Macaca mulatta: one gene and its partners. The protein of the gene in region 4 purifies or fractionates together with the protein of the main gene of each other region. This does not show direct contact. Links are inferred from orthologs where the notes say so. Each region holds a gene or a part of one and is shown on either strand. Other genes may lie near its edges. The genes, in order: YAP1, PLEKHA2, AMOT and MPDZ.

What was found.
Region 1: the proteins of MPDZ (region 4) and YAP1 purify together in Homo sapiens (affinity purification with mass spectrometry; 6 studies listed by BioGRID and IntAct, with this or other methods). This does not show direct contact. The link is inferred for Macaca mulatta from reciprocal best matches to the Homo sapiens genes MPDZ and YAP1.
Region 2: the proteins of MPDZ (region 4) and PLEKHA2 purify together in Homo sapiens (affinity purification with western blotting; 3 studies listed by BioGRID and IntAct, with this or other methods). This does not show direct contact. The link is inferred for Macaca mulatta from reciprocal best matches to the Homo sapiens genes MPDZ and PLEKHA2.
Region 3: the proteins of MPDZ (region 4) and AMOT purify together in Homo sapiens (affinity purification with mass spectrometry; 4 studies listed by BioGRID and IntAct, with this or other methods). This does not show direct contact. The link is inferred for Macaca mulatta from reciprocal best matches to the Homo sapiens genes MPDZ and AMOT.

The regions. Positions count from the first base shown.
Region 1 is NC_133419.1:102,975,466-102,983,380, forward strand, and holds the start of YAP1 (transcriptional coactivator YAP1), read left to right. Parts: upstream 1-3,153; 5' UTR 3,154-3,210; coding exon of another isoform or gene 3,211-3,437; coding exon 3,438-3,758; intron 3,759-4,066; exon of another isoform or gene 4,067-4,230; intron 4,231-6,733; coding exon 6,734-6,984; intron 6,985-7,915. Other genes in the region: uncharacterized protein LOC144334584, read right to left, coding at 2,453-3,153, 3,211-3,439. UniProt on the Homo sapiens protein: Transcriptional regulator with dual roles as a coactivator and corepressor. Critical downstream regulatory target in the Hippo signaling pathway, crucial for organ size control and tumor suppression by restricting proliferation and promoting apoptosis.
Region 2 is NC_133413.1:40,835,127-40,842,747, forward strand, and holds the start of PLEKHA2 (pleckstrin homology domain-containing family A member 2), read left to right. Parts: upstream 1-3,685; 5' UTR 3,686-3,849; intron 3,850-7,621. UniProt on the Homo sapiens protein: Binds specifically to phosphatidylinositol 3,4-diphosphate (PtdIns3,4P2), but not to other phosphoinositides. May recruit other proteins to the plasma membrane.
Region 3 is NC_133426.1:119,484,896-119,492,027, reverse strand, and holds the end of AMOT (angiomotin), read left to right. Parts: coding exon 1-180; intron 181-1,311; coding exon 1,312-2,052; intron 2,053-2,380; coding exon 2,381-2,478; 3' UTR 2,479-6,213; downstream 6,214-7,132.
Region 4 is NC_133420.1:85,866,245-85,874,174, reverse strand, and holds the start of MPDZ (multiple PDZ domain protein), read right to left. Parts: upstream 4,128-7,930; 5' UTR 3,999-4,127; exon of another isoform or gene 3,843-3,998; intron 1-3,842. UniProt on the Homo sapiens protein: Member of the NMDAR signaling complex that may play a role in control of AMPAR potentiation and synaptic plasticity in excitatory synapses. Promotes clustering of HT2RC at the cell surface.

The DNA of each region.
Region 1 (7,915 bases), on a different chromosome or scaffold from region 4:
TCCAAACCATAACAGAAATGAAAAGGGAAGGGAGTGATAGGTTGCAGAAAAGGGAGAGGTGAAGGATAAATGAGGTGCGAGTAATGAAATAAGAGAACCAGATGATTATTAAGAATATGGTATACCATAATCTGACTTCATTACTGGAGTATTTCTGATGATGACAGAGTACAGACGAACGGGTAGGTGGCTAAAGTGAAGTAGAGGTGAGGGTCCATTGTAGTTGAGAGGTCAAGTAATTGGGAGACGAGTATTTTGAGACAGCGATCTACCTGGACATTGAAAATGATTCAGGATAAGCATGAATCTTTGTATGAAGAAGGTGACTCCCTATTTTAAGATGCTGTCAACAGATAATTGCTCCACAAAATGGGCAGAAGAGGAAGGGAGTAGACAAAGGATGGAATATGTTATCTGTATCCCCTACTACACTGTGGCTGAAATTGTATAAACGAGGAATAGTAAGTTCCAAAATCTTGGTTGATGATACAGAAGTGCTTACAGAATGTAGTCACTCCAAAGACCCTTTCACGCCACTTATCAAAGTAATTTTGTCCTCATTTTAATGGCAGGCGAAACAATATTGAACAAAGCAGCCTCTGCTGTACTTTAAGCCCTTTAGCTAGTGTTCATAGTAGTAAATGCTCTAGTAAAAGGACAGCTTCCATTCCAATCCCAGGTTTTCAATCACTTTGGTTCTTTTTTTGAGACAGAGTCTTGCTGTGTTGCCTAGGCTGGAGTGCAGTGGTGTGATCTCAGCTCACTGCAACCTCCACCTCCTGGGTTCAAGTGATTCTCATGCCTCAGCCACCTGAGTAGCTGGGACTACAGGCACATGCCACCACACCTGGCTAATTTTTGTATTTTTTGTAGATAGGGTTTCACCATTTTGGCCAGACTGGTCTCGAACTTCTGACCTCAAGTGATTCTGACCCCTGCATTAGCCTCCCAAAGTGCTGGTACTAGAGGCATGAACCCCCACGCCTGGTCCACTTTGGTTCCTAAAGTTTTCTTTCAGGTAAATTTTTAATGCACAGTTTCTGCCCAAAGATTTTGTTTGTGTGGATTGATTATTGGATAGGAGAGGAAGGGATTACCAACAGGGTCCCTAAGGCTGTGCTTAGAAAGAGAGGGTTGCTGCAAGGAGAGGCTATGTTACTACCTGTGAAGTCATCTATGAATATGGGACAACAATGACAACTGACATTGATGCGCAACTCACTGCACGTCCCAAACTAGGCTAAGTACATTATATCCATATATCCATTGACTCATTTAATGCCCCAACAACTATGAGGCAGGTGTTATTACCCCTGATGCTAATATTAAAGAACAGGAAATAAATAACTTGTCCAAAATCTCACAGCTAGTAAATGGCAGAACTGGGACCTGAACTCAAAACTCTGTAACTCCAGAACCTACAAGTTTGTCGTTAAATGCACTTGACATTTAGGAGTGGGAACAAATCCAAGAACTAGTCATGGGTGTCATTTACTCTGATCCTTTTCTTCAGACAGGAAACTGGGGGTTCAGAGTAGTTGATTGGAATCTTCTGTTAGAATTTTGAGTGTCTGAAGCCTGCTCCTTTGGCCGAGCCCTACCACACCAAGTGATACAGATCCTTCAGAATTCTCTTGGGCATGTTCTGGCTGGAGGAAGAGATTATGTTTTTGCTACCGGACTTTTTCCTTGCTTAATCCTATTTATACCTCTGTTTCACTAGCATTGTAGATAAAATCATTAAAACAAGAAAGCCAGATTTCCTTAGAATGGGCTAGTGCATTTAAAATTAGACTGACGTTGCACAATCCTATGACTATACTAAAACAAAACAAAACCAAAAAAACCCCACTGAATTGCTTAAATATACAAATATGTACAAATATTACAAAAATTGTATGGTATATGAATTACATCTCAACAAGGATGCTTAAAAAAAAAAACCAGAGTGTATGACTTAAACAACATATTTCCATTGTTTTTAAGTGGCTTCCAATGGGCTCCTTGTACATCAGGTGCCTGGGGTGACCTACTTGCCCATTCATTTCTTATTCAGTCCACATTAACGGAGTCCACCCTTGGGCCAGGCACAGGGATAGCAGGGGTAGGCACCCAGCTCCCTGAGGATGAAAGGCAGGTACAGAGGAATGAATGCTTGTACCTGAAGAAGCACTGATTTTTTTGGGTTGAGGCTTCCAGTGACTATGTTGCAAACTCGAGTACTAAAACAGTTGATGTGATTTCACTATTTAGAAAATGTAGTGTTTTTGTTTCTTTTACTAAGTTACACTGACTCACAGACCTGGTCTCAAAGCTTCAATTACAGTAACCGTTTACCCTTTCAAGTGAGTTTTCGCACACTAACAGATAAGTGAAACAGAATTACAAAATAAAGTTAATGCTGAAAACAATGGACCTTTATTAACATCAGCGCCGGCTCACCGTATCTATTTTAACTCCCATCTATCCTGGCGGCTTTAAGCCCGCACTGGCGCTCCGCTCGGTCAAGCCGGGGTAACGCGGGAGGAGGAGGTGGGTTCGCACATCCTCTCTCCACTTCTTTCGGCCTTCGTCCTTTCGCAAGTCCAGGCGAGCTGGAAGCGCCTTTCCCGAGCACGGGCCGGGAAAAGGAGCCGAGCGGGGCGGAAGGACTTTCTGGGGCCAAGGGCGGCCGCGTTCTCCGCAGAGACCACACTTCGGCCTCGGAATGGACCCAGCGTTTGTGGTTCGCGGCGTAGAACACGGGGCACGCTCCGGGCCCCTGCCGGGCTGAGCGCGGGCGAAGGGCGGACCGGACCAGGGCGAGCGGGTCACGTGCGACCGGGAGAGGCGCGGAGGGCTGGGAGTGTGCAGGAATGTAGCAACTTGCAGCGAAAAGTTTCCCTGCGCTGCCGGCCGGGCCGCGGTGCGGGCGGGCGCGCAGAGGAAGGAAGAGCCGAGAGGAGGCGGGGCCGCGGCGGCGCGGGCGGGCGCTTCTCACAACTTTAGTTTTGGCGTCTGAGGCGAGTTTCTGTCTCAGTCGGGCGCAGCCGCCGCCAGGGAAAAGAAAGGGAGGAAGGAAGGAACAAGAAAAGGAAATAAAAGAGAAAGGGGGAGGAGGGGAAAGGCAACGAGCTGTCCGGCCTCCGTCAAGGGAGTTGGAGGGAAAAAGTTCTCAGGCGCCGCAGGTCCGAGTCCCTCGCAGCCCCTCCCGAGGCGCAGCCGCCAGACCAGTGGAGCCGGGGCGCAGGGCGGGGGCGGAGGCGCCGGGGCGGGGGATGCGGGGCCGCGGCGCAGCCCCCCGGCCCTGAGAGCGAGGAGAGCGTCGCTCCCGCCGCCCAGCACCGCCCGGCCCGCAGCCGTCGCCGCTTCTCCACCTCGGCCTGTGGAGCCGGGGCGTCCGGGCGGAGCCCTCGCCCGCCTGGTTTAGGGGGTGCGCGTCGGGGGAGGCAGAAGCCATGGATCCCGGGCAGCAGCCGCCGCCTCAACCGGCCCCCCAGGGCCAAGGGCAGCCGCCTGCGCAGCCCCCCCAGGGGCAGGGCCCGCCGTCCGGACCCGGGCAGCCAGCACCCGCGGCGACCCAGGCGGCGCCGCAGGCACCCCCCGCCGGGCATCAGATCGTGCACGTCCGCGGGGACTCGGAGACCGACCTGGAGGCGCTCTTCAACGCCGTCATGAACCCCAAGACGGCTAACGTGCCCCAGACCGTGCCTATGAGGCTCCGGAAGCTGCCCGACTCCTTCTTCAAGCCGCCGGAGCCCAAATCCCACTCCCGACAGGTAACCTTGTCGCCCCTCTCCCCGCTTCCCCGTCGGGCGGGCCTCAGACCGGGGGGGCGCTCGGGAGCCGCGGCCGCCAGCTCTGGCCAGGGGAGGGGGTTGCGGGAGCTCTAGCTGGGGTGGGGGTCCCGCGGCGAAGTGGAGGAACTGGAGTCGTCCGCTCGGCCGCGGTGACCAGCTCCCCACTCCTCCCAGAGTCCGGGGCTGAGATTTGTTTTTCCTTTCGGAGTTTCTTTCTGCGGTTGCGGCCCCGGGGGGCGTGCTTTCCCTCCTTCCTTTCTTTCTTCCCGGGGTTCCCGGGAGGTTGGCGGGAGTGGAGGAGGGGTGGGGAGGAAGGAAGGGGGTGGGGGAGAGCCGAGCCTGGGCCGCGGTGGGCTTGCACAATGCGCGCGCCTCCGCGCGCTCCGCACCTTCGCTCCCGCCGGGGCCGGGCCGGGAAAGGGGGAGGGGGGCCTCTGGCATTTGTGTGTGGGTGAGTTGCCAGCGGCGGCCGAGTTTGTGAAGTTGAGCCCTGGGCCCCTTTCCTTTGCGGCCTCTCGGTCCACTTCAGTCTCCTGGGGGAGTCAAATAATTGTTCTGTTGTTTTCCAGTGTTGATTAGAGGTGGGGGTAGAACCGGTCCATTTAGTTTTTTGCTCTTTCTTTCCCTCCCCCCTACCCATTTCCCCTCCCCCTCCGCCTCCCCCTCCCGTAAGCATTTATTTTCCTCGCGGCTTAGGCGATTTCTGAATACAGGTTTCGGGCTTCCCCTGCCCAGACTTTCCTGGAAGTTGTTTATGGAGTTCTTTCACCCCTGCGCTTCCCTTGTGTCTTGGAACTTGGGTCGGCTCGCTCTTATCAAACTTAGTAGGTTGCGTGTTGGTTTCCCGATCGTAGGCTATTATTTACAGTCGGCTGAAAAGCTTTTGAATTAGCCACATCTGTACGTTGCGCAGGAACTGAGTTGCGCTTTACAGTACCGAGGTTTTAACACAAGCCTTTGATAATACACTGCGGGTTGACTCATAGGCCAAGTCCTGCCTAGTTCAACTGTGATTAAAAGTTAATGTTTGGGAAGCGATGACTAATTCTAGGATCGCCATTGCTTTTTAATTCTTATTGCGGATATGAACATGGCTGCTTTTCCACATACACAACGTTCGATTATTTTGCCAGCTTGATTCAGCATAGAAGTGAAACTATTTATAATGAGAGTGTTAACATTCCGATAGGTCCCAGTGGTTTTGTTTAGTGTAGGGTTCTCTCTTTTTCCTTCTTTTCTTTTTTCTTCTTTTTTTTTTTTTAAAGAACTTGCTTCAGGCTAAACTTCAGCATAGGAACTTTGCCCAAAAGTTAATAGGTTTTCCAAATACTGCAATGTAGTTAGCCTACTCGGGCTGTAACTTGAGTGGAAAGAAGAGTTACCGCCCCCACTCCCATCCTCTGTCCTATTTGCAGGCCTGTTGTATATTCTTCTGTCAGAGACCACAGGGTTTTGGAACTCAGAAAAACTCACTTAACCTGATGACAAAAACCCGGGTTAAGGAGGAGGAAGGAAGGAAAAACAATTTAGCTGCTTGCCTAAACAGTTCAATTTGTCAGAGATAGACTTAGGTATGCTTTTTTTCTTACCCCTGGAAGTTGGTTTATGGACTCATTGTAAGTAAATGTGTGTTGGCATGCACCCTGCAGACTACACGGTATTTTTTCAAAGTATACTACACATAGATTGGATCCCCCATTTTGTGACAAAGAGTCACAACTGGAAAGTGTACTTTTTCTTCTAGTAGGTAATTTTTACAAGAATTTATATCCAGCAGTTCTAAAATTCATAAACTATTACAGTTTTGTTTTTAATAAGTTTTTAACTAAGTGTTGCTCATCTGTAAATTGGACTTTTATTTCTGCTAGTGATTTTCTAAATCATACTTATTCTGATGGGACACTCAGAAAGGTCTATCACTTTAAGGCATTAATGACTCTACTGAGTCCTTCCGGTTTCCTTACCTTTGTGAATCTAGGAAATTCTAACTTTTTGATAATCAAACTCTTAATTCTAATTAGACACATTTTAAAAACTATGCAAGATTGTGAATAGTAGAATGTAGGTTGTGAATACTATTGTTCACAACACAAACTGGTGACTATAAGTTGTTTTATATACATCCATTTTTCTGTCTTGAAAACTATGTTACAAACGAGAAAACAGGCATATGGAAGTTAACATACTTGTTCAGTGTCACACTAGCCAGCTTAGACTGGAACTCAGATCTTTGGGGTCTGAATGCAGAATTTTTTCTGCTTGTATAGAGTTGTGAATGTCTGTGAGTTCTTAAGTTATAATTGGACTGATAACCTCATTATCTTCTACATACAAATATATAGTTGAGTTTTTTTCATCTTGTTCATTGTAGATGGCTTTTAAGAACATTTGGGCAGTTCAAATTTGTTGCTTTCATTAAAAATTGTGTAATTTGTTATGATTTCTTTATTGATGGCGTTTTATCATGGTGGGAAAAAATGACGAGGGCTTGTTTTTTCTTGGGCTTGACCTAGAAAAAAAAATTAATTACTTAAAACCTAGTAAAAAATGCATATTGTTTGCGTTGTGTTTATACTTAGAACATTTTAGAACTTGGAAAAGCACCCATAACTGCAGTGACTTTTTAAAAATTAGGTTTTAAAATTCACTATTATTTTTGGAATGTTTTATTCATTCAGTACTAGTTGCCCTTACATGTCTGGTGTGTAGTAGGTGGAAATTCATTAGATGGACTGCTCATCAATAAAAGCACAAATATAAAACATATTAAAATTATATAATATTAAAAGTATCCGTTTGAAAACCTGTGTTCTCTAGTGTCGAATATTAAATGTTGAAATTTTCCTTTGGCACTTAGATACTCGGCTGCAATTAAGCACTGACTGGGAAATTTAAAGGGACTCTCTAAAAAGTTGTGTTTCTTTTTTAATTTTTCATCTTAATATTCCTAATAGGCCAGTACTGATGCAGGCACTGCAGGAGCCCTGACTCCACAGCATGTTCGAGCTCATTCCTCTCCAGCTTCTCTGCAGTTGGGAGCTGTTTCTCCTGGGACACTGACCCCCACTGGAGTAGTCTCTGGTCCAGCAGCTACACCCACAGCTCAGCATCTTCGACAGTCTTCTTTTGAGATACCTGATGATGTACCTCTGCCAGCAGGTTGGGAGATGGCAAAGACATCTTCTGGTCAGAGATACTTCTTAAAGTAAGTGAAAATAATGGTGGGAGACAGTTATCTAAGAAAAATATGTATTGGAAGACACAGTAAAGTGGTGTCAAGATACAGAATATCATTTGTTTTTATTTTTTTTAATATTTATGTTAAGCTCTAGAGCTCTGTTATATCTCCCATGTATATGTTTAAGTTTGGTGTGACCTAAATACCTTTGTTAGCATGGGTAATATTTTGAGAGCTTTACTGAGTCTTGGTTCTGAGCCTCTTTATAATCTTTTCTTTTGTGGAAGTTTGGTTATTCTCATTTTGAGCTTGTGCCAAACCTGTTAATTAGCCTAGCACAAAACAGAAAGAATACCATGAAAATTTTCAAATTCTGAGAATATTAGGGCTAGCAGCATCTTATGAAGTACGTGTGGTGCTACTTGTATCTTTTTAAATAAATATTTTATTGGTGGAGAACTACAAAATAAGTAGGGCTTTTGGGGGAGTCTAATTTTACAGTATTTTAAATTGTGAAATGACAAGCACTACAACTGAAGCTTGATGTGACTTACCAATATTTCCCCCCAAAATGTAAAGGGAAATATAAATTTTTAGGTTTCATACGCAGTCTCTCAGTGGCAAACTTCTTTCAAGCTAGTAGATCTTCACAATAGAAACCCTCCTCTCTGGGAAAACAAAAACATGACCATTGGGTTGTTTATTTTTTTATCAGTCTTTTTGTGTTTAACAAAATGGCAAAATTGCACTAGGCTGAAAAGATCTAAATAGTTTCTCTCCTCTAATTTTGAAATTACAGATAGGACCTCAATTTTTTTCTGGCTTGTTTGGATCAAGTATATATAAAATGTTGACTAAAACTAATTATTATAGACCGAAATTGATGTCTTTAAAAAAGCTCACTTAATAGTGTTTAATCAAGTTGAGATAATAAAGTGAAAAACAGTGTAAGTTTTTA
Region 2 (7,621 bases), on a different chromosome or scaffold from region 4:
AAATAACAATAGGTTTAACTCTTTAATAGAGAAAGGAGAATATAAATAATAATCATCATCTTCTAAAACAATACTACAATGGGCTTTTTTTCCTCCTAGTTTTTTCCACCGACCATAGGCTTTATAGTCAAAATCACATGTATGTGTGTATGTATACAAAATGTATCTTGTGGCCAGGCATGGTGGCTCATGCTTGTAATCTCAGCACTTTGGGAGGCCGAGTGGATCATTTGAGTTCAGGAATTTGAGACTGGCCTGGCCAACACAGTGGAACCCCACCTCTACTAAAAAATACAAAAATTAGCCAGGTGTGGTTGCGGGTGCCTGTATTCCCAGCTACTCGAGAGGAGACTAAGGCAGGAGAGTGGCTTGAACCTGGGAGGTGGAGGTTGCAGTGAGCTGAGATCGTGCCACTGCACTTCAGCCTGGGCAACGAAGCAAGATGCTATCTCAAAAAATAATAATAAAATAAAATAAAATGTGTCTTGCTTTTTAAAAATAACCCAGATGACAACATACAATTTTTCAAAATTATTTTATTTTTATTATTATGGTACATCATAGTTATACATATTTATGGGGCACATATGATGTTTTCTATTTTAGAGATGGGATCTTGCTATGTTGTCCAGGCTGGTCTCAAACTCCTGGTCTCAAGTGATCCTCTTCCTTCAGCCTCCCAAGTAGATGGGACTGCAAGTGAGAGGCACTGTGCCTGGCATCTAGCTTTTTTTGGCGAAACATTATCTTGTAAGCAGTTTTTTCCATACAGCCTCAGCATTTTGATGACTGTATGATACTCTTTTTCCAATTGTTGAACATTTAGGACATTTCTAGTTGTTCTCTATTTTAAATATATATAATTATTTTAAAAGTCATCTATTAGTTTGCTAGGGCCACCATAACAAAGTACTATAGACCTAGGTGGCTTAGGCAACAGAATTTTTTTTCTCACTCTCTGGAGGCTGGAAATCCAAGATCAGGGTGGGTGCAGGGTTGGTTTCTGCCCAGGCTCCTCTCCTGGGCTTGCCATTGGCCACCTTCTCCCTGTGTCTGCACTGCCTTTCCTCTGTATTTGGGCATCCCTGGTGTTTCTTTGTGTATTCAAATTTCCTCTTCTTATATAAACACTGCTCAGATTGAATTAGGGCCCATTTTAATAGACTCTGTTTAACTTGTCATCTCTATAAAGGCTCTACTTCCAAATACAGTCAATTTTGAGTTACTGGGATTAGGGTTTTAACATGTGAATTGGGGGTTACGGGGAGGCATAATTCAGTCCCAGAACACATTATGTTTAATTTTTTCTCACTTGCAATTTTAGATCATTTTCTTTGGATAGATTTCCAGAGGGTAATCACTGGGCCAAATAAAAATATTTTAAGGCTCTTGAAAACTGCTTTTCCAAAGAATATAACAATTGGTACCACAGCAGCCTGATTAATTTTTTTTTTTTTTTAATAAGTAAATGGGCTGGGTGCGGTGGCTCACACCTGTAGTCTCAGCACTTTCAGAGGCCCAGGCGGGCGGATCACTTGAGGTTAGGAGTTTGGGACCAGCCTGGCTAACATGGCGAAACCCCGTCTTTATTAAAAATATGAAAATAAGCTGTGCGTGGTAGCGGGTGCCTGTAATGCCAGCTACTCGGGAGGGTGAGACAGGAGAATTGCTTGAACCTGGGAGGCGGAGGTTGCAGTGAGCTGAGATCATGCCACTGCACTCCAGCCTGGGCAACAGAGTGAGACTCTGTCTCAAAAAACAAGCAAGCAAGCAAGCAAGCAAACAAACAAACAAAAAACAAAGAAAAAAATATAACCAATTTTGTGAGCACCGCCTTCATCAAGAAAAGGGCAAGGAGAAACAAAGTCATGAAAAGCTTGAACTGAATCTGTCCCAGGGCACCAAAAATTCTGCTTCCTATGGAGGTCTTGGAAATGCCTTTTTTTTTTTTTTTCAAAGACAGGGTCTCACTCTGTCACCCAGGCTGGAATGCAGTGGTGCAGTCATAGCTCACTGCAGCCTCCAACTCCTAAGCTCAGGTGATCCTCCACCTCACTCTCCCAAGTAGATGGGAGTACAGGTGTGGAATCATGCCTGATTAACTTTTAAAATTTTTTGTAGAGTGGGAGTGTTGCTATAGTGCCCAGGTTGGCCTCAAACTCCTGGGCTCAAGCGATCCTCCCTTCTAGGCTGCCCAAAGCAGTCGGATTACAAGTGTGAGCTACCTTCCCTGGCTGTTGAAATGCATCTTTATTAAAAATCAAAATATAACCAGGAAACAGAAAGTGAGTATATGAATGGTGAAATTGTTACATATCCTATCTCATGCCATTCTTATTAGTTGAGTATTGTCTTTTACTAAAAAGCAACTCAAGCCAGCATCGACGACAACTTTTTTTTTCTTTTTGTTTTGAAACGGAGTTTCCCTCTTGTTGCCCAGGCAGGAGTGCAATGGTGCGATCTCGGCTCACTGCAACGTCTGCCCCCGGGGTTCAAGCGATTCTCCTGCCTCAGCCTCCCAAGTAGCTGGGATTACAGGCACCTACCACCATGCCCGGCTAACTTTTTGTATTTTTAGTAGAGACAGGGTTTCATCATGTTGGCCAGGCTGGTCTTGAACTCCTGACCTCAGGTGATCCACCCGCCTTGGCCTCCCAAAAGTATTGGAAGTGAGCCACTGCGCCTGGCCTAACAAGAGCTTTAAGTATGGCAACCTTGTATCTTTCAGGTGTAAAATTAACTCAGCATGATAATTCCTGGCCACTATCTACCTCACAGCTTCAAACAGTTTTTTCAAGAACTAGGCATGCAGAAATAAATGGTGGATTTTATTGAAACCTATAGGCATTTTTGAATGACATTGTTACCAGCCATTAATTGGTTCAGAACCTTTGTAAGTTTTATTTAACTTGAGCTGTCTTTTTTTTTACCATGCTTTTTTCAATGCATTGCTCAGTATTTTTTAAGTTTCATGAATGCATGTTCAGTTCATTAGATTCCATGACCGTGTAATATTTTGATGCAGTGTTTTGTAAATGAAGTTGCATTTTCAGAGCAGTTCTGTGTGTTCTGTGATACCATCTTTTCAAAGAGAAACCTTTAAAACCTTAAAAACAAAACTGCCCCAAACCATAGAAAACTCGTAAGTGTGCGGTCCTTTTTCTTGTTCTCATTTTTTTCCCTTTCCTTTTTCTTGTCAATAACAAACATTTACCAGAGTCTACAGATGCTAGCTAAGGAAGGGCTGAGACGGGGTGGAAATGGATCGGAGGCAGGTGTCCGGGGTGATTGAGGGTAGGGTGGTTACATCTACAGATCCTGGTTATATTTTAACTTTTAATAAAGATGCATTTCAACGGCCAGACAAGGTGGCTGCCACCTGTAATCTCACTGCTTTGGGCAGCCCAGGAGGGAGGATTTCAAACTCCCAGGAGTTTGAGGCTAGCTTGGGCAACAGGCTTTTTCAGAAAGGAAAAATCACGTGTCACCCGGAGGACCATGGGAGGGATCATGTGGGTGAGTTGGTGAGAAGGAAAATAATACACACACACACACACACACACACACACAAAGGGGTGGGGTGGAGGAGACAGGGAGAGGGAGGGAGGGGGGGGGGAGAGAGAGAGAGAGAGAGAGAGACTCAGAGTCTCTGAACTTGATAAGTTGTTAAAACTGTCTTTGAAACAGGAACTCGCCTTGGCTCCTGTGAACTGAAGAGCCCAGATCTCGCCCTCCTCTTTCTCGCAATCACCTTGCCTTTTAAAGCTGTTGCTGGAGGTAGTTTCCCCTGGCTAGGGAGGAGCTGCCTTGTTGTTCAGAGAGAGTCGTTCTTCCAAAACCAGGGGTGGGGTAAGTGGAGGCTGCAGACCCTCAAGGGATCCCTTTGGGACGGGGGAGGGAGGATTGGGGGGTGGGGATCCCTGGGAGGGATCTTGTCACTTTGGTTATCCTAAGAACTATATATTTTGAGGTGGGGATCCAAACTCCCCTTATATTAAGAAGAAAAGTTGGGGGTAGGGTGCAGACATTTTGCCAAATTACAGACGGAGCCGACTAGAACCAGAGCAATTCCCAAAGGAGGTCCTCCCACACCCACAGGAAGGCCGAAAAAAGGCTTGAAATTCAAATTATTTTTGGTGCTTGGGAGATGAGAGGGGGTGAGAGAGGGCAGCAGCAGTGAATGGGAACTGAAGGGGGAAGAAAAAACCAGAAGGCTTGGTTAGTATCATTCCAATGAAACAGGTCAGGAGAGCACCAAGGACTCTCAGACATGTAGTTGGACTTGGAATACTTTTATTATGTGTCTACAGGGTAGACTGTAAAGGAGAATATCCACACATTTTACATAAATGTAGTTTCTGCTGTAAAGAAACTGCTGCTCTCCCTCCTTTTTTTTTTAGCCTGTGTTTCTGGGATGACAGGACAGAGATGTCCTGTCTATTTCTCTCTGCACCTCTCAAACCGCTTACCTCACCCAAGTTTCCTCCAGGAGCCTTCTTCCCTTCATGAGCTTTGGCAGTTTTGTTGTTTTGTCTGCTTATATTTTGCTTTTAAGAAGGATGAAAAAAAGATAGTGGGGTGGGGTAGAAATGGAGCACCCTGTGAGAGGCGAGAAAGCAGTATGCCCATTTGAGAATTGGGTGGAGGGAAAGGGAAAAGACCTTTGGAAAAGAACTGTCTCCTTTTTATTTTTATTGATTTATTTTTTGAGGCAGGGTCTCACTCTGTCGCCCAGGCTGGAGTGTGGTGGTGTGATCTTGGCTCACTGCAACCTCCGCCTCCTGGGTTCATGCCATTCTCCTGCCTCAGGCCTCGAAGTAGCTGGGACTACAGGTGTGAGCCACCACGTCTGGCTGATTTTTTGATTTTTTGTAGGGACGGGTTTTCACCATGTTGCCCAGGGTGGTTTCAAACTCCTGTGCTCAAGCAATCCACCTGTCTCAGTTTCCCAAATTGTTGGGATTACAGGCGTAAGTCACCATGCCTGGCCTGCACACTTTTTAGGTATTAGTTTTTCTCATCTCTTTCATCTCTTCAAAAGAGCGACTTGGATTGCACAGGATGCCCAGGTAGATACTGGACACCCAGTTAAATTTGAATTTCAGACAAACAGCAAATGACTAAAAATCTGACATGAGGATTCTGTGCATTTGAGGCAGTTTTTTTTTTTATTTTTGAGATGGAGTTCTGCTCTTGTTGCTCTTGTCGGCGCCATCTCGGCTCACTGCAACTTCCACCTCTCGGGTTCAAGCAATTCTCCTGCCTCAGCCTCCCAAGTAGCTGGGATTACAGGCGTGTGCCACCACACTCGGCTAATTTTGTATTTTTAGTAGAGATGGGGTTTCACCATGTTGACCATGCTGGTCTCAAACTCCTGACCTCAGGTGATCTGCCCACCTTGGCCTTCCAAAGTGCTGGGATTACAGGCCTGAGACACCGCACCCAGCCCAAGGCGTTTCTAAATCACCTCTATAGGGGTGTTTAAACAGTGGGTACCCAGAGGGCACAGTTTTAAAGGAATCACTGTCTAGATCTCCCTGAGATGCAGTGAATGCCAGTTCGTACTGGCTTCTGTCTTCCCACTTCTCCTTTCCCAACAGCTCTCTCACTTCTAAAAGAGGAAAGAAAGACGTGGCCCTGGGTCGTAAAAACCTTCAGGGCCAAGACAAGGGACAATGAGAAATATCCGTGTTTGTGCTGAGACAGGAAAGCCTTTTCTAACAGATACAAATCCTTTCACAGGTTAAGCGGTTCCCAATTCATTGCTATCCATAAACTTTGGAGAAAAACCTAATTGAATTGTCCACAAACAGATCAATCATTAGAATATTTTTAAAGAATAAACTTTATTGGCCAGGCACGATGGCTCAAGCCTGTAATCCCAGCACTTTGGGAGGCTGAGGTAGGCGGATCACCTGAGGGCAGGGAGTTCAAGACCAGCCTGGCTTACATGGTGAAACCCCTTCTCTACAAAAATACAAAAATTAGCCAGGCTTGGTGGTGGGTGCCTGTAATCCCAGCTTCTTGGGAGGCCAACGCAGGAGAATTGCTTGAACGTGGAAGGCAGAGGTTGCAGTGAGCTGAGATCTTTCCACTGCACTTCAACCTGGGTGACAGAGTAAGACTCTGTCTCAAAAACAAACAAACAAGCAAAACTTTATTTTGTAGGGCAGTTTTGGGATTACAGCACAACTGGGTGGAAAGTAGAGAGTGTTCCCATTATACCCCCAACCCCACGCGTAAAAAGTCTCCCCACAGAATAATTTTTGAAGGAAAATCTCTAACATAATTGAATGATGTTACCAAATACGGCCTTACTGAAAAACAGATCTCAGGTTCCCTGGCAAAAGTGTTTTTAGTCATTCCAGGATCCCTTTTGAAGCCATAAGCCTTTCTGGGTTATGTCCCAGTTTTCTTGCCTCTCGTCAGCCCTGGACATTGTCATAACAAAAGTCCTTGCAGCCTCATCTGCGTATTAATGTGACCAAAGCTGCTCAGAGCTTACATTCGTAAAAACGAGAAATAGGGAAATTATTAGGGCCAGGCGCGGTGGCTCATACCTGTAATCCCACCACTTTGGGAGGCTGAGGCAGCTCTCACTTGAGGCCAGGAGTTCAAGGCCAGCCTGGCCCACATGGTGAACCCCTGTCTCTACTAAAAATGCAAAATTAGCTGGGTGTGGTGGCACATGCCTGTAATCCCAGCTACTTGGGAGGCTGAGGCAGGAAAATCGCTTGAACCCTGGAGGCGGAGGTTGCAGAGAGCCGAGATTGTGCCACTGCACTCCAGCCTGGGAGACAGAGTGAGACTCCATCTCAAAAAAAAAAAAGAAAAAGAAATAGGGGAAGTATTGACATTACATCCTGCTCATTATTGCAATAAGTAATATTAATTGATGAATATTTAACTTCTTTACATATACTTGTTTACTATAGATGTATGTATGCAAACATATAAACATACATATATTTAAAAATCCATTCTCATCTATCTCATTGAGACTAATTTCTAATGCTATTTTACTGTATTTTGTTTAACTATCAATAAACTATATTTTTATCTTGTTATTAATAATTGTAATGATGACTTAGTCTCAAAAACTGTTTTAACACTTACAGCCTTATGGACACAGGATGTTTTTTAACATTGTAAAATCAATTTACATATGCATTTTTGTTTCAGAAAATATGATAGGGCAATCAATAAAAGATGTTCAAGCATAAAAATAGCTGACATTTGGATACAATTCTTTAGGGAAAGTGGAATGGAAGTATAGTTCAAGGAAGAAAGGGATAGATTTAACATTTCTGGCTGTCAAAGAACTGCTTGTTCAATTTTAAAAATGAATGATAGTGTCATATTACTATGGTACTTAGATTCTATTGGACACCTTAAAAAGAGTGATATGACAGTTTTATTTCAAAATATCCCATGCTAACAACTGCAGAATACATCCCTTGTGAACACTTAAAGCTACGATTAAAAGTTATAGATGTCAAACTTTAAAGTGTGTGAAGAGATACATAGTTTTTCAGCATTTTAGGAGTTGTAGGTAAGGAAAAGTTTGAAAGCTATTGCTTTTTTTTTTTTTTTTGAGACAGAGTCTTGCTCTGTCACCCAG
Region 3 (7,132 bases), on a different chromosome or scaffold from region 4:
TCCAACAGCGTTCCCGGAAGGAGCCGAGCAAGACAGAGCAGCTGTCGTGCATGCGGCCAGCGAAGTCTCTGATGTCCATTTCCAATGCTGGATCAGGCTTGCTCTCCCACTCATCCACCCTGACTGGCACCCCCATCATGGAAGAAAAGCGAGATGACAAGAGCTGGAAGGGGAGCCTAGGTAATGACAGTAAATAAGGAAGATTATAGTCATGTGTTCAAAGAGAGCCATGAGACAAGCACCCATGCTTAAGGAAAAGGGATGATGGTCCAGGTTCTGGAGAGGAAGGTGTACCAGGGTTTTGGGTTCATATTCCTCCTGAGACCCTAGTTCCACATTCTGGAGCTCCTCCACACTTTGAAGTCTCCTGGTGAGAATACTGATTGAGGCCAAAGCCTAGAGGACAAGAATCTTGAGTTTCATTTGGGTGTGAAGGAAGGTAACTCTAATTTCCTCTAAAATATTCTCACATTTGACCTTTGCCATGTGGCACCTTTATCTTTCTCCAGAACCCATGTGGCCTTTTTGTCATTCAGAATTTCAAAATTCCAGCATTTCTGTGCTCCTTCCTCCTGTATAATAGGAGAACCCAGAGTTTTAGTTACGCTAAATCGTTTGGGTAGCAGGTTTTGTTCCCACAGTGTTCTGAGATGAGAACAGAATGTACTTTTTCATTCCATTCCTGTCCATTCCCTCCCCTCTAATCAAAACCCCAGACATATTGTGGATACCACGGGCACATTTTTAGAGCCTGAGGAAGGAAGCTTATATGTATTTTTATTTTAACCCTTTTTGTTGCTTTTAATTCCTTTCTTGGTCCTCTGATACTTATAATATCTTTTGGTTAGAATAAGCATTTTGGAGACTATGGTCATGGTGAGAACCTTAGATCACACAATTATTACCACACTTAATCTGTGTCAATAGACTTATTCTCCAAATCCTTTCTTGCTCCCTGGTAATGTGTGGTAATGGTTTATAAGTGGAGCCGAGTAGGAGCATTCTGACAACTTGGTGGAACCCAATCACCATTGGAAAAATAAATCAAAACAGATACCCAGGTCACTTACAGGCTTAATATGTTGTGCCAGGTGATGGATGAGGACCAGAGGGATCTTCGAAGTCTGTAAGAAACTTTTAGCCATGGTTGGAGGAGCCTCACACACTGATTTCTGGGTTCCCTGGAGGCAAAAATAAATAATTTAGACACATTCAAATTTCTTCTGAAATTTGAATGGGAGAACAGGTAATTAGATGTCTGGATTTGAATCACCTATTTTTTTCTAATGTCTGTTCCCCTTTCATTTGTAGGCATTCTCTTGGGTGGAGACTACCGTGCTGAATATGTCCCTTCCACACCCTCGCCTGTGCCCCCCTCGACTCCCCTGCCCTCGGCTCACTCCAAGACAGGCAGCCGAGACTGCAGTACCCAAACTGAACGTGGGACGGAATCGAACAAAACTGCAACTGTTGCTCCCATCTCTGTTGCTGCTCCAGTTGCTGCCGCCGCCACTGCTGCCGCCATCACCGCCACTGCTGCCACTATCACCACCACCATGGTAGCTGCTACTCCAGTTGCTGTTGCTGCTGCTCCAGCTGCTGCTGCTGCTGTTGCTGCTGCCCCGTCTCCAGCCACCGCTGCTGCTATTGCTGCTGCTGTTTCTCCAGCTGCTGCTGGTCAGATTCCAGCTGCTGCCTCTGTTGCCTCAGCTGCTGCCGTTGCTCCTCCTCCTCCTCCTCCTCCTCCTCCTCCTGCTGCTGCTGCTGCTGCTGCTGCTGCTGCTGCTGCTGCTGCTGCTGTTCAGGTTGCTCCAGCTGCTCCGGCTCCGGTTCCAGCTCCGGCTCTGGTTCCAGTTCCGGCTTCAGCAGCGGCTCAGGCTTCTGCTCCTGCTCAGACTCAGGCACCAACTTCAGCTACGGCTGCAGCTCCAACTCCAGCTCCAACTCCAACTCCAGCTGTGGCTCAGGCTGAGGTTCCTGCAAGTCCAGCTACCGGTCCTGGACCACATCGTTTGTCTATACCAAGTTTGACCTGCAATCCAGACAAAGCAGGTAATTATTCCCTTTAGCAGGTAACTTTTGGTTTAGTTCTGCTCTCAAATACAGATTTATTTCTTGTTGCCTGATGTCTGGGCAGAGTTATCCTTTGGACTGAATTTTTCATGTTCTAAGGGAGAGAGAAGAGAGTCTGTAAATGACTTCTCATCCACCAAGATGGGAACAGGCATGAGTGGAGGCCATTATCTTAGCAGAAGTAAATGAGGGAGGTGACAAGTCTCACTTTGCCATTGGCTTCATGAGGGCTCTGATGGTGTCTAGTTCTAGAAATACAGGTTTTTTCTTCATCCCTAAGTGTTTTCTAACCCTTATTTCCATTTAGATGGGCCTGTGTTCCACTCCAATACTCTGGAAAGAAAAACTCCCATTCAGATCCTGGGACAAGAGCCTGATGCAGAGATGGTGGAATATCTCATCTAAACGGCCAAATCAAGAGCTGCAGATTCTCAGCAAAAATGCTTTTAATCATTTCCCCCTTTTATTGGTTCTTGTTTTGGGGGTGAGGACAAGGGTTGGGGGGAGGGGATGTTTTTTAACAGGACTTTTTGTTGGAACAATGTACTACTTGAGTAATACCATGTGAACCACCAGTCTATTCTGGTATGCTTAGGGAGTACCTCTAAAGACAGATTAATCCGAATGTGCTCTAAAGCTTATTGTTTGAATTTATACAAATACTGGGACTGTTAACGGGTGGGCATACATCAGTGTTTTCAATGTGCTTAAATTTGTTTAAAATTTCCATATTCTAGATCATTTTTAATTGAAGAGCACAGTATGTGTGGAAGACAGTGTGTAACACGTAGTTTGGAAGTGGGAAGCTGGAGAGAATTGAGTGTGTGCTGTCTTGTATAGTTACTATCCTGTGCAGCAGCCGGAGAAAGCTCTCACCTCAGGCTTATAAAAGGGAATAGTTTCAGGAGCTATGTAAGCTGGAAAAAAGGTAGGGAGTTTTGGGATGCAGAAGGGTGCTGGAGCTAATTTTTTCTTCCAATTTCCCAGCTACCCTGCCCCAGGGAATTGTGTTTGTCTTCATTTCAGTGGTGCTTTGGAAACGGATTCTTTTGGTTCCCTCCTGGAGGTTCATACATTCATATATATGCTGTGGAATAATTTATGCATTTGGATAATTAATATATTGCTTTCAGATGCTGGGAGAGTACATTAACTGAGTGATGCACAACTTCCTCTCTCTTAGGGAGTTAGACCATCAGAGGCCTTGATGGAGACTTGCGTGAGGTGCTATATGCAGACTTTCATGGTCTGTGTGTAGCCATGAACATAGCTTGCTTGCATTTATTAAGACCAATCAGCTTAGTGTTTATTTCTTCTACAGCACAGATTCACTGGCTGGGGCTCCAGTCTCAAATTGCCAATCATTTGCAAAGTGAGGAAGGATCTTTGTTGACAGGTTGAATGCTTTGAATTTCTGGTGACTACTTTGAAATAACTTGTTTTGTGTGTCAAATTCTAAGCATATGTCTTAAAAGGCATTTTTGACTATCATCTCCAAGGGAATAACATGAGAAACCCAAAGTACTATGCTGCAGTCGGGGGAGAGGTGGATTGCAGCAGTATCCTCAACTACCTCTTCTCACTGTCAGTGACTCCATCTTGGAATACCTTTGGGAAGCAGCGGGAAATGTGCATGTGGGTAGAGATCAAAGGAGGCAATGGTTCCAAGCCTTGCCATAGGGCTGCCTCCAAGAACACAGAAGGATGCCAGTTGCCACAGGACCCTGCCCTGTGTCACCTGTCTGCCCTTCATTAAGGTGACAAATCTGCAGATAGCATCATTAAGATCAGTTTTAAGGGGTATAGGGAGGGTGAGGGAAGGTGGGGGGGTGTTAGGTAAGGGTAGGGGGGGTAGAGGTTTTGGGATGTCTTAGTTAGAAACCAGATTAATAGAAGAGTAGGCCTGTTATATTACATCATGAGCCATAGCGGTGGGAGAGAACTTTAGCAATAGAGCCCTACCCCCTCATTTTAGTGATGAGGAATCTGAGAACTGGAGAGGTTCAGTGACTTTTTAAAAGTCACACAACACAGCTAACCATTATGCCAATCACCATGCTTATTTTGGGAAGCTCTTATCTTTTTTTAATTCCATTTTACGAAAAGACATCTTCATGGTCCAGGGAATATGTATCTTGTAAAATGTCCCTGGCTGGAGTAGCTTGTCCAGTCTTGACAAACTACTGAATTTCTGTCTTGCCTCTCCTTCAGTGCCTTTTAAAAGGTTTTCCCTTTTCTGATCTGCATTACAACATCGAGTCACATAAATGTCCCCCCTAAGAAACCAATCCCACTTCTTACTAGGAGATTGGGTATCTTAGATAATCTTTTGGGGTTCCTCTGTGAGTATAGGAATGATATCTTTCCTAATTACCTTCCAAAGGAATTATTCTGTGTGTGTGTGTGTGTGTGTGTGTGTGTGTGTGTGTGTGTGTGTGTAGAGAAAGAGAGAGACATAAAGGAAGGGTGATGTGATTTTCAGCTAGTCCTTTCACATTTTCAATAATGAGGTAATCATGTTACATACACATTAGTCCTCAGTTATAAAGTGAATCTCAGATAGAAATTAAAAATGCAGTTGTGTTAAGACTCTTTCATACTACCCTTTAGTCGTAAGGAGAAAAATAACCTCAAATAGTAGAAGCAGCAAGTAGCAAACTTCAGGAGAGCTACTTTCTATCCAAATAAATAATTTAAAAACACTTTTCACCTACTCCTTTCATGGTTATAACACATTGGCAGACTTTTTGCTGGCTCTGGGAACCATGATTTTAATCACATTCTGCAAGGTGACAAATGTCATACATTCCACATTGTGTGGTAGCCATCTCTTTAGACTCATGTGTTTGGGGGAAAGGAAGAAGTTCTTGGTTAAGTACTATTTTGAACTTTCCGGAACCTATCTGTCCTCTCATACCAGAGACAGTTCCTCTCTGCTCAGTTTCCAATCCGGATAATTCGCTAAAATAACATTGTACATCTAAGAGAGGAAAGAAGAGTATGTCAGTATATTATGCAGAAGATAGATAGAGCCTTTTCAGAAGATCTCCACTAGTTGTTGATCCAAAAATTCAACTTTATGGGAGAAATCTCAATTAGCCACCTTTTCACAGTTGTGTGGATGTAACATTTGGGGGCTCTTTCTGGACTCCTACCTATCTGTGCATTTTACTGGCACCTCAGGAAAGGAGGGTGACCAGGTTGTCTTAGCTTGTACTGCTTGGTGGTCTCTGAGGACCTTCTAAGTCAGTTGTACCCCAATGTTCCATGTATAGAAAAACTTCATTAGAACAAACTTTACTTGATATGAAACTCCTATTAACAGTCTTTTTTGAAATAAAAGTAGCTTGAGCTTTCTTTTAAAATCATGTATCTTGATTGTTGATTTAATGAAGGATTTCCTTTTAATGCTGCTTTTGAGCTTCAAGGTAATAGGACAGCAGGAACCTAAAATATCTGCCATCATCTGCCATAGGAAAGATACCCAGAGACCCGTCATGTTCTCTTTTTGTTGTTACTCTGTTGAGTGGGTATAACAATTGGAAGATGAACAAACTGATTGATTGTGCAAACTACTTTTTATGACAAGCCTAAACCCTGATAATGCGGCAGCTTAAAGTGTATACATATGCACTAACTTTGATCAATTATATTCTCATATCTGTTAGCCACACAATCTCCTATTATCTCAATTGCTTATGCGCATATGGAGTATGTTACTTAAAACGTGCATTCTTACTGAAAATGTTTTCTAAGGAAGATATCAGCTGTGGGCTAATTGCCACCAATTTCAGCCTGCCACGATTCTTGGAAATGTATCTTCCAAGTGCCATCCATCATCAGTAGGACAAGTGTCGGGAGTTTGTTTATTTTGTTCCAGTAGCAACGATGGGTTACATGGAGCCATGAAACCTCCTTCTGGCCTCCCTTGTGATTAATGGCATGTGTTTGTAAAATGGATAGCTGGGGTTGGCAGATGGCTAGAGAAGAATCGCCTTTGGTTTAAAATGTATGTGGTCCCCTAATGATTGTGACCCCATTCTGTAATCAACTGAGCTAGTTCCAATAAAGTTAAGCAGGTTTAAATCCACTTTGTGCCTATCTTTTCACTGACAATAAAGTTAGCTATTTTAAAATGCAGTACCGTGTGGAAAATGCTTTGGTGTTTACCCGACAGAGGCTTTATTTGTGCTGTATCAGTGATTACTTTCAATTCAGTATGCAGTGAAATTGCCTTTCAAGGGCAGCGTGCAGCAGAATTTGCATTTGCTTGAAGTATGGAATGTGATTATAGATTATAAAGTATTAAGACAACACCACAGGCCACATGCTCTAATCGGTCTCTTTATATACTCAGGCAGCATATATTAAAAGCTTTGCATCTTTTTATCTCCTGGTTTCTAGGGATAAAATGATGGCCACCCAAAGCAGAGAATTCATCCTTTGGTTAGCATTTTGGAAGGCCCCTTGATATTCCTTTTGTACCCTTGTTCTGATGCCAATTCATCAGTTTTGGTTGAGGGAGCTTGTTATTAAAAACAAATCAAAACCACAAACGAGTTGGCTCTTCACTGAAAATGTTAAGGCTGCCTTTACACTGCCCTTTCTGTGCCTCCTGTTTACCAATGAGTTCCAAACCTGACTGGTGAGGCAAGGATCCCCAAGGACTTTGAAATGACACGTTTTCACAGTGAAATAGACTTGATGGGTGTTGCAAAAGGGATAGGGTAGGGGGTCTAGAATTCATTCAACTGTAAATTTGATTTTTCTTAAAGTTGGACTTGATTCCCTCCATATTTATGATGAGTGCTTTGAAAACCGTATGGATAAAAGCCTTCCCTCCTTTTCAGGACAAAGAAGATAAGGTATTAAGTTCACCAGACCTTCTTACAAAGCTTTGGAAAGCATTCTTTTCAGAAATGTATTGTGCCCATTTCTTAAGGGGCAGTCACTTGTTGGAAGAAAAAGCCAATGTTCCTTCAAAAATGTGTTAGATTGGCCAGGTGCGGTGGCTCACACCTGTAATCCTAGCACTTTGGGAGGCTGAGGCGGGTGGATC
Region 4 (7,930 bases):
TACCAGGAAATGGGGTGCTGCTGTAACAAACACCAAAAATGTGGAAGTGGCTTTGGAACTGGGTAACAGGTAATGGCTACAAACGTTTTAGGGTGCATGGTAGAAAAAGACCAGATTGCACTGAAGAGGTTGTTAGAAATATAGACACTAAACGTGTTTCTGGTAAAGTCTCAGAAGGAAATGTGAAACGGGTTACTGGAAAGTGGAAACTTCAAGAGATAAAATTCAGCCTATACTTCATTGCTCTCCATTAATTGCTCTTCCCCATCCAAACTTTTCCCCTGGGCACAAACCCTCTATCGCACTCCAGAAATATACAAATTGAATACGCTCTTCAGTACCCACTGCCCACTCACATCCAAGCCTCTTCCATACACCATGTCAATTTTCAAGGCAAAACCACTGACTTAAGCTCACTTCATACCAAAAATCTTTCATTTCCACCCTCTTATCTCAAGACCAAAGCCCCCTCTGTGTGTTATTTACTAACCACAATGATAAGAGCAAGTAATCCCTATACTTAACTACTTTCCTAGAATCCCTGTAACATTTTTTATGTGTAAAACCTTTCTATAATTTCTCCCATTAGATTCTTGCAACTAAGACCCTATGCTACTGGAGCAGAATCGTATTTATTCTGTGTTCTCCTCAATGCCTAACCCAATACAACAGTCTTCCTAATCCACCTATTACTACCTATTACATGAATACCTCGGATCTTCTCTGGAAACAAAGCACAGGAAGGCAATGGATTCCTCACCACTGGTTTCCTTTATTGAGAAGTAGTTATTTATCTCCTTAGTCTTATTATCCCACATGGAATCCCACTAAAATTATTTAATCACAATATATCAATGTTACCATGCTAAATATCATTTCCGAACTGTACTTATATAAATGTTCCCCTTTGTATGACACTAATTTACAAGAAAAAAATGAAACTTTTATTGTTATAAATATGGAGTTGATAATGTATGTAACAATATCAAATGAAATCCTACTTCAAGCCAAATAACTATTTTTAAAAGTACATGTAACTGTTTTGGACATATATCATCATTTATAGGCACCATCAAGCAGTCCTAAATTCACCAGGAAGTTGTCTGCTTCTTCACTTTAAAGTGTAGGATCTTTCTCTGGCAGATGTGCTATTCGCTCTACCATATTTGGGGACATTCTGGTCCAACTTTGCCTCAAAATATTTCATGAAATTCAGAGTACTTTGTATGTTTCCAAATATACAAAATGTAGCCAACCTGCAGCTCAACCTGAGAGACAAGACTATGTCGGATCTGGGATGTAATCTGGAGAAAATAATCTGCCTCTAACTCAGGATAGCTACGTTCCGGGCAATTCATTGTTCTTCTCCAGCTTTTAAATCCCTTAATCTCAATTCTAGACAATGGATTCACTTCATCATTTGTCAAGCAAAATCTCTCCATCCTAGCAGTTAAAAACTAAAAGTGGCCAACTAGGCCTAAATCCATGAAAGTTACATTTCAAGGATTTCCAAGAATCTCTCTCAATAGCTTCAACTTGTAGAAATAAACTAGACTCTGAGAACAGCTTCTATTCCTCACAGTTAGGTGCATTTAAATGCATCTGAAAAGGAAAGATGTCTTTAAGGGCCAACGAGAGCAATGTCTAGGTGATAGGACTTTGAAACACATTAAAAACTGACTAATGATCCCTCCCTTTCCAAGCCACAACCACCAGGCCCAGTCAATAAAAAGAAGTGTGGTAAAGAGACAAAACCAGAACTAGAGAAGGTACGTGAAAAGAATAAACACAGAAAGGAACAAAGGGGAAAAAAAGAAACATATGTAAGAAATAAGGTACACCATAATCTATTAGTAATACGTTGAGAATAATCTTCCTAAGTTTGTTCGTTTTGGCAAACGAGATAGGAAAGAGGAATGGAGAGTCAAAGGGTACCCAAAACTAGTTTTGCCTACGTTGCACACAAGGGCACAGGTGCATCCATCCAAAGCGCGGTATTGTATTAGAAGATCAGGTCAAAGAACTTCAAGTTTTGCTAGGTTTTTATTTATGTTTTTTATTTACTTATTTATTTATTGAGTCAGAGTCGTCTCGCTCTGTCGCCCAGGCTGGAGTGCAGTGGCATGATCTCGGCTCAATGCAACCGCCGCCTCCTGGGTGCAAGCGATTCTCCTGCCCCAGCCTCGCTAGTAGCTGGGACTACAGACGCGTGCCATCACGCCCCACTAATATTTGTATTTTTAGTAGAGACAGGGTTTCATCATGTTGGCCAGGATGGTCTTGAACTCCCGACCTCAAGTGATCCACCCACCTCGGTCTCCCAAAGTGCTGGGATTACAGGCGTGAGCCACTGCGCCTGGCCAAGTTTTGCTAGGTTTTTTAAACACTATTGTTTGCCGAAATTCCATCAAGTGCTGAGGCATACATTATACAAATTTAGATGGTTCCAACATTACAAGATGTTCACTGTAATCACTCACACCCAAATTCAACATGTAAAACTCCCAAGCCCGAAGCCATCACCTCCTCCTCGTTAGTTTTCAGATAAGGTGTTATTCTATAAAAGGTAACCTAAACCAGGAATTTCTAGGGAAACACGAAGGGGATGTTTACATCAAACTATCTACAAGGCAGGTCAAGGCAGTCTGGTCACTTATCAGATTCCTTCTCTATGACATCAAAAGAACATGGAGAAGTTTTCCTTCTAGGCTGGTGAAGTCATAGTCCTCTTATCTATCTGGTGATACCTACCAAACACTAGCCTCCAACCACAGCCCCCACTGCACAAAGACAGTGCCCATTGCCGGGGTCTTCCCAAGCAGAGCACCTCAACAGCGCCACCGCGGAGGAGAGGTCCCCGGGGACCCCCCACTCGCCCCCAGGGACTGCGCAGTGGCCTCCACCTCCCGCCGGCGCCTGGCCACTTCTCCTCCCCCGCAGTCTCCGCTTGGATTTCCATGTGACTGCAGGGAAGAATAGCCCGGCCTTTGTGCCTCTGCAAAGAATGCAAGCAAAAATGTACACCATCACCACCCGACAAACGCGCTACTCCGCAAGGCACAAAGCGTCTCCCAAACATCGCTTCCCTAGGAACATCCGGCATCCTGGGGCTGCCAAATCACAGACAAAGGCGCCCATCAGAGCGGGGGGTGAGGGCATTAAGGGAGAGACAAGACCAACATGCTCCCACCAACGGGAGCTGCGGTTAAAAGGGCATGGGCGCCAGGGGGGGGGGGACGGGGAACCGGTACCAATTAGCGGCTTGCCTTGGGGTCCCCGAGGCTAAGGCGAGAACGCAGGACCGGGAGCATTGCTGCCCACTCTCTACCGCACCCCGCGCAGCCCGGCACCGCGTAACGGCGGACAGGGCATTCGGGCGCGGCCCCGGCAGCGGAGAGCAACAGGCTCCCGCGCCCCGGAGGCCTGGTCTGCGCTCCGGACCCCCAGGCTAACACCCCACCCCCCGCCCCCCGACACCAAGACTGTGCCCCTCTGGGTCAAGGAAAAGGAAGAACTTTTAAACCTCTTAGAGTCAGCGAGAGCAAAAGAAAGGGGTAGGGGTGGCTGAAAGGTCTAGGATTATCCATCGCGGGGGTGGGAGGAGTGGAGACTTGCGAGTAGCAAAGGAAACTTCTAGACCCCATCCTTTTAAAAAGCCACAGCAGCGGCATCCGCGAAGCGCCTGGCCGCGCGGGGTGGGGCAAGCGCACCGCCCCACAGCCCGCCGCCACCCCCACCCCCGCGCGCCGAGCCCCGGGCGCCCGCGCACCTTCCCCGCCGGCGCGCGCGCAGGGCGCGGGGGCGCGCCTCGGCCTCCGGGCCTGGGCTCACGCGCCGCTTACCCGGCTCGCTGCGGCCGCCCAGGGCCGGGACGCGAGGGGGCAGAGGGCTAGGGAGCAGGGGTCGCCGGGGCCTCTGGATGCCTCGCTTCGCCCACGCTCGCTGTCTTCTGAAGTAACGGCCCGGCGAGGAGCTTCGGGATCAAAGCGCACACTCACGCGTGACTGAGAAACTTAATCCCGCGGCGGCCCGACGCCAGCCTCGCGCTCCGCCGCGCCCCCTCCCCCAGCGCGCGCCGCACTTGCGCCGACCGGGGCTGCCGCGGAGGCGGCGGCGGGGCCCAGGCTGCTGGGGCTGCCGTGACGCCTGCGACCGGCGGGGCGGCGGGCGCGCCTCGGCCAATCAGGGGACGCGGCCTAGCGGGCCGGTGCGGGATTTTAAACTCGCTCCTGGGCCGCTAGGCCTGGGGTGTGGGTAGTGGATTTATGAGGTGGTCAGATAAAATACAGACTGGCCTGTTAAATGGGAATCTCAAAAAAGGAATAATTTTAGTACAAGTATATCCCTTGCAATATTTGGGACGTACTTATACTAAAAAGTTCTTCATTGTTTATCGGAAATTCAAATTTAATGGCAGTCTTGAGTTTTTATTTGCCGATTTTGTCAACCTGCGGAAACTGATAGCCTGTTTCTGGTTCCTCAGATTTTTCTTATGTGCACTGCCCTGAGGATGCTTTCTGCATGGGTAGCTTACTAAGTGGCATAGGATGCTGATGAGAAGCGCTTTAATCAGAAAGCGGGGCGGGGGGGGGGGGGCAGTCGTCTCACTTTCTAAGAAACTTTTCGCACATCAGGGTGCATTCTTAGTCTGATGATCCAATTTAAAAGCAAAAACAGTAAACATGGAAAAGTTATTAGAGTTACATGGCCCCAGGAAGAACAGATATTCATTTTTTATTTTGTGCCACTTAAGATTTTCTTTCTGTTATCCTGAATTTGGAAGTCCCACGAAATTTTTTCTGCATAAGAAACTCTTTTTCAAAACATCTCTCTAATATTATAGTACCAAAGGATACTCAGAAGTCCAATTTAGAACATTTAATAGAATTTCTCTTATTATTCTGAATAAAAATACTCTTTTCCCGTATTCCTTGGCCTTTCAAACACAGTCACAGCTGTTGACCTCTCTCTTCCTAGAGCCCTCCCCACCCCACCCCTCCTGTAATTCCATGCAATCACACTCTTGGTTTTGCTCCTTCCTCTTAGTCAAGGGTGGAGGTATGGGCTCTGAAGCTTGTACAATTGGGGGTCTGCTTTAACAAAAAACAAAACAAAACAAAACTTTCTTTTGAAAAATCGAAAAATAAACGTCCCTGTAAACACATTGCTAGGGTTGCTCCCAGGCAAGAGAAGGACCCAGAATGTTAAACTACTTCAGTTTCCAGGTAGATCTGCCCCTGTCACTAGGCCACTCTTCAGTCTTCTTTGCCACCTCTCCCCCAACCTTTAGATGCTGGAGTTTCTTAAAAATCAGTTACGGGCCCTCTTTTCCTTTTAACTCTTACCTCTAAATACGTTTTCACTTCTAGCTTATCATCTAGTAGCTATGGAATCTTTCTTACATTCATACCTTCAGATTTATCCATATATTCAAGTGTTTATTCGACTTCCCTCTTTGCTTGTCTCAAACCTAGATTGCAAAAAAAGAAAAAAATGCAACCATGATAATTCTGCTCAAGCCTGGTCATCTTCCACAGTTCAGTGTCCCAGTGAATGGAACTGCCATAGATACATGATTCCCACAAACTAGGATAAACCCATTGTGATGCATTCTTATTGTACCCTATGCTTTTGCTTCATAATATTTATCCTATTTTGTAAATATGCACTTAATTTTGTAATTATGCAATGTCTCTTCCCACTTCAACCATAAAGCCCATGAGAACAGGGGCTGTCACCATTTTATCCTCAGAGCCTAGTTAAAACTTCACACTTGGTTGGCACTCATATGAAATAGGATGAATATACAACTGCAAGAATGAACAATTTGTCCATATAACTTTTGTGTTCTTGTCATAGAGTCATCTCAAGGCATCCCATTTGGAAAGGATTTTCTTATTGCTTAGAAATTCCAAAGGGCTCCTCCTCTTTGAATAGCACTTCTACTTGTCAGTTTTCAAATCTGGTCATTCTCAAATACAAAGGAAGTATGTGCATGAAATGTTAGCTGCTGGGATAGTGTAGGAGGAAAAGAATTTCTTAACTAGCTACTGAAGGAATTCCGTGAGTCCTAAAATTTTAAATGGCGTTTTTTTATATTGAACCATAGGGAAAGAGCCCATAAAACTGAATTAGAGGAAAGTTTTAGAAATTTAACTCTCTGATTTATTGTGGATAAATGAGATTAAAACAAAGGATTTTACCTTGGTTTAAAAGGTGCTATTGTTCTAGTCTCCTTTAGCCAAGCAAAATCCATGTGCCCTCTTTAAACAACAGTGTATCAGAGGATAAAAAAAATCTTGTTTAGATTAGTCCTTGCATAAAATTATCCAGCGTTTGGGGATAATTCCACCCAGAAGTTTCTCCTTTTGAAGTTAACCTGCAGAGCTATTGCTCTATTCTCTGTAACTTGTTCTAATCCAGAAAACCTAAGATTTTCTAGAAATCCACCAGGGATATTGCACTAAAAAAAATACCTAAAATAGAAGTTAAAAACATTAAATTAGTTGAAATAAAATCTTGCAGAGAAAGACAAAGTGTAAAGCAGATAGACTCTGTGGGATGGGTTGAAACTTACCCCGTAAGTAAATGGATTAATAATGCTTTCTATTTCATGTCAATATAGCCTCTGGGGTCATTCCACCTGTATCCTCAGTGAGGCATTCTCCACAATAATTTGTTTTTCTCAAATTTGAGTTATATTCAGAGGACTTTTATAAGGGAAAAAGTCCTGGAAACTTCTGAGATTGGTTTAAATGATTGGTTTATTATTTATTGTTCATCATAATTGAACAAGTACAAATATAAACTATGTATATGATATTGTTTTACATTTGTGGCTTCTCTACAACTCTAAAACTAGTGAAAGGCCCAGGTTGTCTACTCAAAACCTTCAACAGCTGCTGAAAAGACAGATCCTGGAAATTGAAGTTTTGATCCATCACAATAACAGAGGATTCTTTTAGTTGCCTGCTGAGCACACAGTCTTCATTCTGCTTTTTAACAGCAGATAGCCAAGGCGTGGGTGAGACCCCCATGCTGGGAGATGTTACTCCAGAACTGCAGGGTTAGAACTCTGTATGAACTAAATCTTTTCCCAAGGACTAAGTGATTTGGGGTAATCCTAATAGTGGGATGATGGGCTATTTCCATCACCTTTAGCCAGCAGTGACTCTTAGTAATGATGCAGCATTTAAATGCAAACTAGATGGCATGCTTGCCAGTCCCTCTACCTAAGGGATATCTAATACATAACAACTGTGCAGTTTTAGTTTATTATAGTTTGTAGATTTTTTGTGTTGTCTATTGGCTGACTGACTTTATGGTTTCAATTTGCCTCAAATGTCTCAATTAAAAGAAGAGTTCAGATAAATTTTTTTTTCAGTTTGTTCAATGTTAAAAAACATTTTAAATCCTTAATTTTTTCTCTCCATTGAAAACAAGTCAAGGTTGAAGAAAGAAGATAAAGAAGAAAGAGAAGAATGTTAGGATAATGGATATGTATGTGTCTAGGAGAAAGCCATTAGGGGGGAGAGAATGACTAAGAGAGAATCCCAGGAATGAGAAAAATGTAAAAATTATTTCTCTTTTGAGAACATACAGAGTAATCTGTCTCTCTTCATATAACAAACTGTTTATAGAGAGATAAAGGCTCTGAAATCTCCAGTGTGTCTGATTAGGCCTCATCTCTCTAAGCATGAAAGAAAGGGCATTGGGAGGTCATGACCTTCTGACCTTGAATTCATCTGCATTTGTACCCACAAAATTCTAACTCTATAAGGAAATTCCAGGAGAAAGCATTGGGACCAGGTTAATTTTAGGGAGAAACACATCCAAACTGTTCCAGAATCTGCGCCTCAAGTTTATGCCAGCTAGAATGACATTTTGAAATATCTTAAAAAATACCTTCCCTGTTATGCATACTCTGAGG